Sus scrofa: one gene and its partners. The protein of the gene in region 3 purifies or fractionates together with the protein of the main gene of each other region. This does not show direct contact. Links are inferred from orthologs where the notes say so. Each region holds a gene or a part of one and is shown on either strand. Other genes may lie near its edges.

Region 1 (3,743 bases), on a different chromosome or scaffold from region 3:
CCATGCCTGCCATTAAGTAAGAATTTTTGTCCTTATCAATAATTGTAGCCTCCATGTTTCTCTCAGTTTAACACTAAGCAGAGAGAAAATCCCACTTTCCTGACCTCACTGGTCAGTTCTCGGGGTGAATGACCATCCAGAGCATTTGGAGGTCACCGGTTTCCTGATGACTCTGAAAACAGGGAGGAGAGAAGAGGTCGCCAAGGGGCGCTGCCTTCCTAAGGAAGGTACAAAATGAAACCCTAAGGCCCGAGCCTTGCTTTGGTTCTCTTCTCCTGGAGAGCGCCTGCCTGCCGGTTCTGCTGGCACCTGCTAGTCCCCAGGGCCCTTCACAGGGACTGCGGCACAGCCTTGGCGGAGATACTGGGGCTGCTACGGCCAGCAAAAGTTGGCCTCTGGTCTTGAGAAGGGCCTGGCTTACTCGAGCAGAGACCCTAGGTAAATTGTCACCTGTCAATCATTTGACCTAAATACACCAGCCACTGGGGGAAAGGCAAGGGAGGGGGTTAGTCGGAGCATGCTCAGTAATCGGGATGACATCACTTAATCAATGCTGAGGCCGGGAAGGCTGCATCAGCAGCCTAGAGCAGGCTGCCAGGAACATGTCAGCGGGGATCGGGAGGCTCCCATTAACTCGGTACCTCCCCACGCGACTCGCATACAAAGAGGGCACATCAGCTACACACACTGGGGACAGCGGAGGGGGAAGGGCGGGGGAGGAGAGGGGAGGCTGGCTTATTTCATTTGACATACTCCTTTAAGAACTAAAAATCAATGGTATTCCATCCCCCCACCAGCAGTCCGGCTGCAGAAAGGAAGCCAAGTCTGGGGAGGTGAGGGGAGGAGGGGGAAGGGAAATATGGGAAGGGAGATCGAGAGGGAGGGGGCCCTATCCACACAAAGTAACTTATTCTTTGGGAACAGAGGCGATTTAGCTACGTTCAGGACCCCCAACCCCACGCCAAACAGCGCGAAGTGTACCCAAGGGTGTTCGGACCCCAGCTGGGGGCTGCCCCATTGGGGAAGAGTCAGACCCAAGGTCCAAGTAAGGGAAGCCTGGGTTGAGAGGGAGCAGGAGGAGACACACGAGGCCCCCCGGGGACACGAAAGCCACCAGTGTTCCCCTACCCCCGGCCTTCCGCGTGCAGAGCAAGGTGAAACACCGCGGGGTCCGAGTCTACACAGGGTGCGAGCTCCAAGCCTAGGATAGGATTTTTCCAGTACCTTTTTTCCCTCTTTTACTAAGATCTTGAGAAGAGGCAAAGTGTTCGAAAAATCGAACCGATGCCTGGAATCATTTGTGGTTTACACAGCTCATACTTGAAGGGGAACCTGGGCTGGAGGGTAACCTGAATACACTACCCACGCGGCGTGGCCAGGGCGGGAAACAATAGGCCCACCCGGGCCCCCACCCCAATAACAATGGCGGCGCGGAACCCTTCCTCGCCCCCCACCCCCACCTCCGCTGCCTGGGGCCCGCCCTGCAGCCCCCAGTTGACCCTCCACCCAGCGAGGAGGAAACTACAGGGTGGGATTGGGTGGGGAGGTCTCTCGTCAAGTCCACCCTAGAGGGCAGCAGGGATGTCCGAAGGGGCGGCCTGAGCATCTCTGCCTGGTCTGGGGTGTCGGGGCGCTGAGCTGCGGCGTGAAGCAGCAGAGGAGGCCAGACATCCCGACCACTTACCCCGATCACCACGGTCTCATCGCCTTTAAATTTGGGGATGAATTTGTCCCCGCGAAGGATCTCTGCTTCGTTAAGTGGCCGGAACCGGCACATCACTTTGATGCTGCATTCGGCTGGATCCGCCATCTCGGCCCGCGGCAGGGAGGGAGCGCGGGGATGGGTGGGGGGGCCGGGGTTCCGCACAACGAGGGACGCGGTCGAGAACCGCACCTCCCGCAACAAGGCCGCCTCCTGCAGCCTCCGACAAAGCTTCTCAGCAGGTCATCGCGAACGCGGCGGGCTGGGCAGCTGTGGCCGCTCCGAGACCTCGTAGGTGAGCAACCTCTCAACCTTCGGCCCGGCCAGCTGCAGATCTGCCTTTCCTGGCGCTGCCCTGGCCCTGCGCTGCAAACCCAGGCCCACCTGCCCGCGACCACGCGGCGGGCGGACCAGGCGATGCGCTGGGAGCGAGCCTCTCCCGGCTCAGACCTCCCGGGCTCCTGCGAGCTCAGCCATCCTGCATCAGCACCAGCACGCTCTGTCGCCTCCCCGGCCCGCCCCTTCGCCCCGCCCTCCCCGGGCGGCCCCTGGGCGGTGACGTCACTGCGGAGATCCGCCAGACCCTCGCCCCGGCTCCTGAGAGAGGGGTATCCTGGGACTTGTAGTCGTTACACAGGCAGGTGGAAGGACTAAGATTTCCGGATTTGGCGTTTAAGCAGCAGTGGTGTCCCAGGTGCCACTTCCGAGAGCTTGCAGGTCTTGACTGGCAGCCCAAGTCAAGAACAGGGTGGATGTCACAGCCAATATTCCTGGTTTAAATCTCTATAAATTACCAGGTCTATATCATCTCTACATCTTTTCATGATCCCAAAGGAGAACGCCCTCTTAAGACAGTGTCCAAACAAACAGTATGGAGCTTTTTCTCTGTGCTCAACAGTTTTTAAAGGTTGTGAAGAAATCGGGGGGAAATGAGATTTCCATGAATATTTGAAGCCAGTAATTTCTGAAAATGCCTGCACATAGATAACAGTTCATACATATTTTGGACCAGGTGCTCATTTACTATCTGATGAACGTTTTACATTATAAAAAAAAGACAAACCTATACACACTTACAGATTTTTCATGCTTTTTCACAGGGTTTGGGGATAACTGACAGCTGCCTGTAACTCAGGTTAAGAACCTCTTTTTTTTTTTTTTTTTTTTGTCTTTTGTCTTTTTGTCTTGTTGTTGTTGCTCTTTCTTGGGCCGCTCCCGCGGCATATGGAGGTTCCCAGGCTAGGGGTTGAATCGGAGCTGTAGCCACCGGCCTACGCCAGAGCCACAGCAACGCAGGATCCGAGCCGCGTCTGCAACCTACACCACAGCTCACGGCAACGCCGGATCATTAACCCACTGAGCAAGGGCAGGGACCGAACCCGCAACCTCATGGTTCCTAGTCGGATTCGTTAACCACTGCGCCACGACGGGAACTCCCAAGAACCTCTTAATTACTACCAATTATAGTGCAGTTTACAGAACCACTGCCCAATACTTCCTTATAATCCTGTAGAATGAACATAATATATATAGGACCAGGTTCAAAGTACTTTGCAAAATACATCCAGACCCCATGATCAGAATTCTGTCTACTTATTAGCCTCATCTCTTGCCATTTCTTGTCTTGATGTTTACACTCTGACAAACATCAAAATATTGGTGGCTTCCTCCATTTAAATTTACTCTTGCCCTGCTTTCTTCTGATACTTTAAGGATTTACTCTCCTGGAGTCACCCATTAATGACTATTATTATTAGGTATGGATTTTAGGGCTCTTGTGGTGGAGAGTGATAAAAATTCAATAGGAGACACTGAGGCAAAAAGAGAGCTTATCAAAAGAAGGCAGATTGATCTTGTTCCCGTCGTGGCTCAGTGGAAACAAATCTGACTAGGAACCATGAGGTTGTGGGTTCGATCCCTGGCCTCGCTCAGTGGGTGAAGTATCCGGTGTTGCTGTGAGCTGTGGTGTAGGTCGCAGACACGGCTTGGATCTGGTGTTGCAGTGGCTGTGGCGTAAGCCAGCAGCTGCAGCTCCAATTAG
Region 2 (3,743 bases), on a different chromosome or scaffold from region 3:
CTGAATGAGAAATGAATAGAAAGGCTGGGCAGACGAGCTCCCAGGATGCTGCCTGAGACAAAATGGCCCCCATAAGCACTTACCTTGGTGTGAGAGATTGACAGGAGGGACTAGGGTAAGGGAAGATACAGAGTGAGACAAAGGTACAGCCCTGCAAATATCAGGCAAAACGGATCAAGAAGGACCAGCTGTGGCGTAAGATAGGATCTGAGTTGGCAGGGGCCCTGGGTCTCTCTTCATCTCTCTTCCCTCCTGCTTTCACCAAGTCTCTCCTATTTAACTGAGCAAATTAGACAGATCAACACAACTCCCAACAACACCCAGAGAGGGATGGCCCAGAGAGCCTAAAGGAGATGGTTCAGATTTACCCAGATTTAAGTCAAGGAAGATAGACTTAAAAGTGGAAGCCTTTTGTGGATTTGCTCCTCCATAACCACCTTGCTTCTATTTTCTCAAGCTTTATGGGGGGCCCTCAAGCTCTTACTTTCACAGCTAATGCCTGCTGTCCAGACTCTTCAGAGAAGAGGCCCCAGGGGTTGATCCAGGCATTCTTTTAGCCTGGCTAGACAGACCAGACTGCAAGGTCTATGGCCCTTGAGACAAAGAGAGACAGGGGCCCTCTCTATGTGAAAAAAAACACACATACACAGCACATGCACAAGGCAAAAGCACTCATTTGAGTTCACAGTGTGGGTGAGAGAGCCTGGTGACAAACTAGAGCCCCTGGGGACAAGACATGTAAGCAAATCTCTTCCTACAGCCTGTTTACTCGAAGTCCCATTCTCACTGGTTCAGAAGGCCCAGACTCCCTTCCCTTTTTTCCTTCATCCTTTTCACAAGCATTCCCTGCGCCCAGCACTGTGGATCAAAAATACATAAGATGTGCCCCTGACCTTGAGGACGGCCCTTATATGGGCCCTTCTCAAACTGGCTACAGTTTCCTGGCCCAGCACCCCTCAAGCCCTACTAGACTTGACCCCAGACCCTTTCATCCCATAGCCTGACAGTCCCTACCAACTTAGGAGAGGAGGGGAAGGTGAGGAACTCCCTAGGAATTCCTTTGGAGTCATCCCAGATAAAAGTCCAGAATGGAAATCTGTGGAGGCAATGTGATATACAGAAGGAGAGACATAAGCTTTGGAATTACAGATTTAGGTTCATATCCATGAATTAGCAGTGTGACCTTGAGAAAGTCAGTTGACTTCTTTGGGCCTCAATTGCCTCATCTGTAAAATGGAAATATTAATACCTTCTTCAGAGCGTTGTTTTAAGGATTAAACAATATATGCAGCATAATGAGCCCACAGAAAACACTATTGCTCCTTCTTAATAACGTCTCTTCTGTGGATAGGGGTTGTCATGATGAGGTAGAGGAGGTGGCTTGCCACTTTTTATTGGATTATCAAGAGATAGGATGAATAAGCAACTACTTGTTAGGATAACAGGTTTGGTTATTTTTATTTGTTAGGGTGAATCGGCGCGTCTGAAATCCTCCTCCTACTGTACCTGGGAGGGAAAGGCAGACATTTCCTTAGGACTCAGAGGCTCCTCCATCAAGCTGGGTGTGGCATCAATGTATTTCTTTCTCCGAAAACCTTTTCTCAGATCCCTGCCCTCCCCCCAAGTCCAGGCTGTAACTACTTCAAGGGATGATGGAGGCCGGGGTCCTGGAGTCCACTTTCATTTACACCTCCGCAGAGACCTTGGACTGCCCATCCCCCACCTAGCCCACCCACTAGTCTTCCCCTCCCTCCCTGGGTGTTGGAGGGTAGAGATCTGAGCCAATAACAAAGGGAAGATGCTCTTTCCCTAGGGAAGAGGGAAAACATCAGAAAAACACGGGACTGGCTCTAGGGGTGGGGACGCTGCAGAGAGCAGCAAAGGGGCGTTGGGTGCATTGATCGTGGGAAGGCAGCCCCCTCCCACTCTGCGGAGACTCGGCCGCCGGCCTGGCCAGGCCACACCCAGCCATCCTGATGCAGGGAGAGGAGGGGCTGCGGCGAAAAGGATGGAGGATGAGCAGCGGAGAGGGGGCGCAGAGACAGGCAGGAGCTAGGGCTCTGCGGAGTAAAAGATTCAGCCTCCCCGTCCCCTCTCCGAAATTCCCTCCGGGGGCGGCACTCACCCCAATAACGACGCTGTCGTCCCCTTGGAAAATGGGGATGAACTTGTCCCCCCGCAGAATCTCGGCCTGGTTCAGGGGCCGAAATCGGCAGAGCACCTTGATGCTACATTCGTTGTTGGTCTCCGCCATGGTGGTCGCCGGCGTGAGGCTGGGGCACTTCTTCGGCTGCAGGGGTCGCGAGTGCTCCGGCGGAGAGGGGCTCAGCTGAGGCCGAGGCGGAGGACAGGTGCTCGGTCTCTGAGGCTCAGGGAGCTGTGGCGGGTGACCAGGCTAACGCTAAGGAGCAGGGCTGGGCCACGCTTCCTCTCTCCTGCTGCACGGGGGATGCGGGCGACCTGGAGGTCTGGTCCTCTCTGGGCGCTCTGCCTCTCGGTCCCTCGCGCTGCAGCGCTGCGCTGCGGGCCTGGGCGGGGCGGCGATGGAGGAGCGGGGCGGGGCTTCCTTCGCTGGGGGGTGCTGCTCCGCGGCGCCCACCACCCAAGCGAGGCACCTGCGCTGTCATCGCGCCTCCTCGCCCCACCCCTAACGCTTGCTCGATTACCCTGTCCTCACCCCTTCCCCACCCAAGTCACTCTCTGCCTTCCACCCCCCACATGCCTGACCCGTCTGTCCCTCACCCCGGCCTCCACCCCCTGGAAGGGCTAAGGAGTCTGAGGTGGGCCTGTCTTCTGTCCCAGGAAGAGTCAACTGTGCTTCCATCTCCTTCATTCCAAGGCATCCTTCACCCTCATCACAGTCCTCGCTCCAAACTGGGAGCACAAAAACCCTCGCAAAGATTCCCAACCCACTGAACCTTCAAGGGCAGCTGCCTGTACCCCTATGGAAGGAAGTGCGTGTTCAAGTCCCATTTTTCAGGGTGTCAGGGGAGTTCTCCCCTTTCCCCTTCTGCGTGCAAAGATGCACTCTACTCTCTCCCCAACATACACACCAGGACCCCAATTGGAAGGAAGACAAACTCCCATTCTGTTATCAGAATTCAAAAGCAGATAAGACTCTCATTTTTTCTTCCTAGGTTGGGGCTGAGAAGGAGGTGGGCCAAGAGTAACTTTTGCAAGAAGTGAGGAACAAAGCAGTGATGGAGGAGGACTTTAGGAGTGGGTAAGGCCAGAGGGGCTTTGAGAAAGGATTTCTAGGGCAGACATCTGCATTTGGGCTTCAGGCAGGTTTAGGCACCTACGTGAGTGTGTTTCCTGTCCCAGAACTGTTGGACAGAGTCCCAACACCCCAAGCCCCTTTTCAGGCTTTTTTTTTTTTTTCCCTCTGTTTCTTCTCTTTCCCTGGCCAAAAAAAAAAAAAAAAAAAAAATGCCAAGCCTTTCTTGTCCTTCCTCCCTTTGGATCAGACTCGTGCTGCAGACCCTGGGCAGAACCACCTAGAAGCTGGCTGGATTGATTTTTCTCCACGTCACAGGGCCTCTGCTGGCCAACAGAGTTAGACTGCAGGAATTGAGGCTCTAGGCCAAGGGGAGGAGCAGGGTGATGGGAGAAGGGAGGAGGGGATGGAGGTTCTGCCTAGCAATTGTCTGGTAAGTTTTTAAGGTCACTTAGACACCATGAGGAAAGGATGAGAGAATGATGGCCTGGCCAGATAAGACCTAATCACTCAGAATGCAACCGAG
Region 3 (3,643 bases):
GGTTCTTCGTGCGTTGGCGCTCCTAACTCCCAGCAGCAACCCCAGGAAGAAGGTGCCGCCCATTTTATAGATGAAAAAAATCGAGTCCCGGTAACTCGCTCAAGGTTCAAGAGCTTAATAAAAACTAAAGCTCAGTCAAGGCCCGCGGTCTCAGGACAGAGCCAGACGTGAGCGAAACACACCCACACCCCTCCCTTCCTCGCAGCCTCTCCGTTTGAACCCCCAACCTAGAGACGTCAGCGAGACACACACGCTCTCACACTCACTCCCTCGCAGCCTCTCCTGAACCCCAGCCTAGAGACGTAGATACGCTAGGACCCCTCGGCCTCCGCTCCAAAACAAGCCCGGCTCAGAGTCAAACCGTCTTTATTTCTACAGCAACATTTGAAAATAGAGAGCGACCGCCTCACCTCCCAACCTGGGCAGCCCCTCCTGCCACAGGGGGCTATCATTGCCCCTCGCAAGAAGCTGCAGGCGTGGGAGGAGGCGTGGCAGGATGGCTCTGCGGGCGGGGCCCGGGGCCGGGCCTGGGCGGGCCGGGCGCGGGGGACGGGGCAGTGCATAGGGCCGGGCTGCAGGGCAGAGCCCGGCGCTGAGAGGACGGGCAAGGGGCGGGCTCCCGGCCCTGGGGTTAGGGGCGTTGGCGGGGCGGGACGCGCCCTTCGGAGGCAGGGAGGAACGCGAGACGGCCCAGGGAACCCTTTTGCGGAGGCACCGCCCCTGAGATGTGGAGCCTGGGAGATACCACCGCGCGGAATGGGGATGATTAAGGCCTGGGCGGTACCACTAGAGAAGGGTGGGGAGGGGAGGCCAGGTAGTACCGAGGACTGAGGGGAGTGGTGCGGCCAATAACTTATTTCTCTATATACAGAAGCAACGGCCGGGGGAGGACAGGGACGCTGAAGGGAGGCCAGGTGCTTAGTGTTCTTGGCTGCGGGTGGGCAGGGGAGACCCCGGCCAGCCCCTCCCGCGGACCCTGAACCTCGGGGGGAAGGGCCCTGCTGGAAGGAATAAATAAGGGGAAGAGTTGGAGGGGCGGGCCCAGCCTCCAGGGCTCCGGCTGAGATGACAAGGGGGGAGATTACCCTGAGATTGAACAGAAAAGACAGGGGTCCTTGGGAGAGACAGGAGGGGCAAGCAGCAGGCCCATGCGCAGGGCTGGGGTGGGGACAGTGCTGGGTGGAGGCTCTGGCGGCCGGCTGCCCCTTCAGGATTAGCCCACGAGGGAGCTTCGTCGGGAAAGGTCCATGGAGCTGGAGCTGAGGGTGCGGCTATCGGAGAGGCCTGTGCCTCCGGGCTGTGGGCAGAGGGGCAGGGGGGGCTCAGGCTCAGGCTGCTCCAGGGTGGTGCTTCCCTGGCCCCAAGGGCCTGACTAGCCTGCGTCCCTGGGGCTCTGACACTTCCACCCACCTCCACAGTTACTGTGTTGGCACTGGGTGCTGGCAGGCAGGAGCTGGGTTTCCCTCCCTGGTCTCCCCAGCCCAAAGCCAGGCTCAGGATGGGGGCAGGAGGTGCTGCTGAATGAGCAGGCGCGCTCCAGGAGAAGTTGGGCAGGTACCCAGGATATGCAGGCCTTGGGCCCTGGGGCCTGGGCCTCAGCTGCCCAGTGCAGCCGCCACCCCCCCATACCTGGACTGGCTCCTCCACACTCTTGTTGAGGAAGTTGAGGGAACTGGCCCGCTTCATCCTGAGGGGAAAGGATGGTCAGGCGCGGGGGGGGGGGCTGGGGGAGGACGGGGAGGGGTCATTTGGGGCTGGGGAGGGAGCAGATCTGCTGGGTGGTGGCACTTGCGAGAGAAGAGTTCACCCTGGGTCCGGAGCCAGCTGGGGCTATTGAGTGGGTTCTGGAGAGGCTCACCGCATGGGTGGGGGGGCTCACCTGGGGTTTGGGGGCTCCTGGGGGCCACCACCCTGGAGCTTCTTCACCAGCATCTCGCTGCTGCGCCTCAGGGCATCTCGGAGCTTCCCGAAGGAGCCGCTGCGCCGCAAGGAGCCACTGCCGTCCTGTGGGGTGGACGGGTTCGTCTGCGCCACGCCAGCTACGCAGCCTCTCGGCCCAGTCCGGCCCCTACACTCACCCCGCTCCACTCGGCTGCCGGCCCGGACTCCTCAAGGTCAGCCTCAGACCGGGCCCCAGCTCCCCCGGCCACGTCTCGGCTGCCACGGCGGTCTCCCCGCCCACCACCGCCGTCTTTCAGCAGTTCCACCACTTTAGTCTGGCTTGCGGGGTCCAGGCCCTGAGGGAGGACAGGGTGTGTCAGGCACTGATTGGAACGCCTATAGGGCCACCAAGGTCCCTGCCCACAGCCCTCGTGCCTGTCGCCCCACCTGCTTGCGGCTGCGGCTGGCACAGTCCTCCAGTGTGTGTGCGGCTTCTAGCTTGCCCTGGCGCCGGTACAGCGCCCCCAAGCTGCGCAGGGTGGTGTTGACCGTGGGGCTGTGGACAGGAGAGCAGGACCATCTCAGACTCCACGCTTCCCGGGAACCAGGGTCCATCCTAACACCCAGCCCACACTGGGCCCCGCAGGACCATCCCGCCACCCCAGACCTGGCCCCTCCTGTGTGTTGGGCCCTGCGCTAGGGCCGCCTGGAGCCCCCTGTCTTGGGGAATCGCCTCAGGGCCCTAAGTGGGATGCTTCCACCAGACCTAAAAGCTGCAAGACCCACGAGTAAGGGAATCAGACTGTCCCAGCACAGCCGTCTTAGGCCAGGTGGCCTGTGAGCTGGGCCTTGAAAAGCGAGCTGACAGAGGAGGTGTGTGTTCTGGGGCTGAGTAGGGGTGGAGGGTGGAGCCTGGCCTCAGACCCCACCCAGGATGCCGCTTCCTGCCCTCTGCTCGCCCTCTGCTCTTGCCCAGGTCCTCACCTGTCTACTTTGCAGGCCTTGTACCAGCTACCATATTCCCCATAGGGTGTGCTGTCCCGGCGCTTATCCTGGGGGAAAGGTAAGCCGGAGGTGAGAGAAGGGCCCCCCCGACACCCCCCAGCCTCCCCCCCACCACGGACACCCGCCCCAGCCCTGCCCCGCACAGCTACCTTGCTCTCCTCCCGCTCCTCTGCGTGCATCCAGATGGGCTTGTTGTCCCCTGAGGGGAGAAAGGGGGGCTGTCACCAGTCTCCCTGGTTGGGCTGGACACAGGACTAGGGTCTGGAGGAGGTCAGGGGTCCCCAAGAAGGACCAGGGTTTGGCTTCGTTGAATGAATGAGTGGACAAGAAACAGGCCCGAACCGTTACTGAGCCTCCTCCGGAACCCGCAGGCCTGTGCCTCAGGGGCCTGCGACAGCCCAGGACAGTGCCTGCGACAGCCGGGGACAGTGCCTGAACGATGGGCCGGGCTGAGGGGTCCTGGAGTAGGAAGTGACTGACCATCAGGGGCTAGAAGGTGGATTCCTGGAGTGGGAGACATTTGGGCTGGGCCCTCACGGTGAGCGTGAGGTGCCCAGTGGAGAAAGGGGAAGCCAGGCTCTGGGCCAGGGGCACAGGGAGGCGAAGGGTGGGTCTCGCACGGGTACAGCTTCCTAGGGGGCTGTGGGAGTTGGGTGTGTGTGCTCCCGTGTGCCCACACGTGCCTCTGGACCAGCCAGACCCCAGGCGCGAGGCCTGCCCGGCTGCAGTGTTTGCCCTGGATGCTGACGGCTGAGGG

Evidence for each region.
Region 1: the proteins of KLC2 (region 3) and KIF5C purify together in Homo sapiens (affinity purification with western blotting; 3 studies listed by BioGRID and IntAct, with this or other methods). This does not show direct contact. The link is inferred for Sus scrofa from reciprocal best matches to the Homo sapiens genes KLC2 and KIF5C.
Region 2: the proteins of KLC2 (region 3) and KIF5A purify together in Homo sapiens (affinity purification with western blotting; 3 studies listed by BioGRID and IntAct, with this or other methods). This does not show direct contact. The link is inferred for Sus scrofa from reciprocal best matches to the Homo sapiens genes KLC2 and KIF5A.

The regions. Positions count from the first base shown.
Region 1 is NC_010457.5:3,359,216-3,362,958, forward strand, and holds the start of KIF5C (kinesin heavy chain), read right to left. Parts: upstream 2,256-3,743; 5' UTR 1,811-2,255; coding exon 1,685-1,810; intron 1-1,684. UniProt on the Homo sapiens protein: Microtubule-associated force-producing protein that may play a role in organelle transport. Has ATPase activity. Involved in synaptic transmission. Mediates dendritic trafficking of mRNAs.
Region 2 is NC_010447.5:22,815,648-22,819,390, reverse strand, and holds the start of KIF5A (kinesin heavy chain), read right to left. Parts: upstream 2,531-3,743; 5' UTR 2,255-2,530; coding exon 2,126-2,254; intron 1-2,125. UniProt on the Homo sapiens protein: Microtubule-dependent motor required for slow axonal transport of neurofilament proteins (NFH, NFM and NFL). Can induce formation of neurite-like membrane protrusions in non-neuronal cells in a ZFYVE27-dependent manner.
Region 3 is NC_010444.4:6,116,887-6,120,529, forward strand, and holds the end of KLC2 (kinesin light chain 2), read right to left. Parts: intron 3,086-3,643; coding exon 3,036-3,085; intron 2,934-3,035; coding exon 2,866-2,933; intron 2,438-2,865; coding exon 2,329-2,437; intron 2,238-2,328; coding exon 2,079-2,237; intron 2,005-2,078; coding exon 1,880-2,004; intron 1,688-1,879; coding exon 1,630-1,687; intron 1,298-1,629; coding exon 1,214-1,297; 3' UTR 350-1,213; downstream 1-349. UniProt on the Homo sapiens protein: Kinesin is a microtubule-associated force-producing protein that plays a role in organelle transport. The light chain functions in coupling of cargo to the heavy chain or in the modulation of its ATPase activity.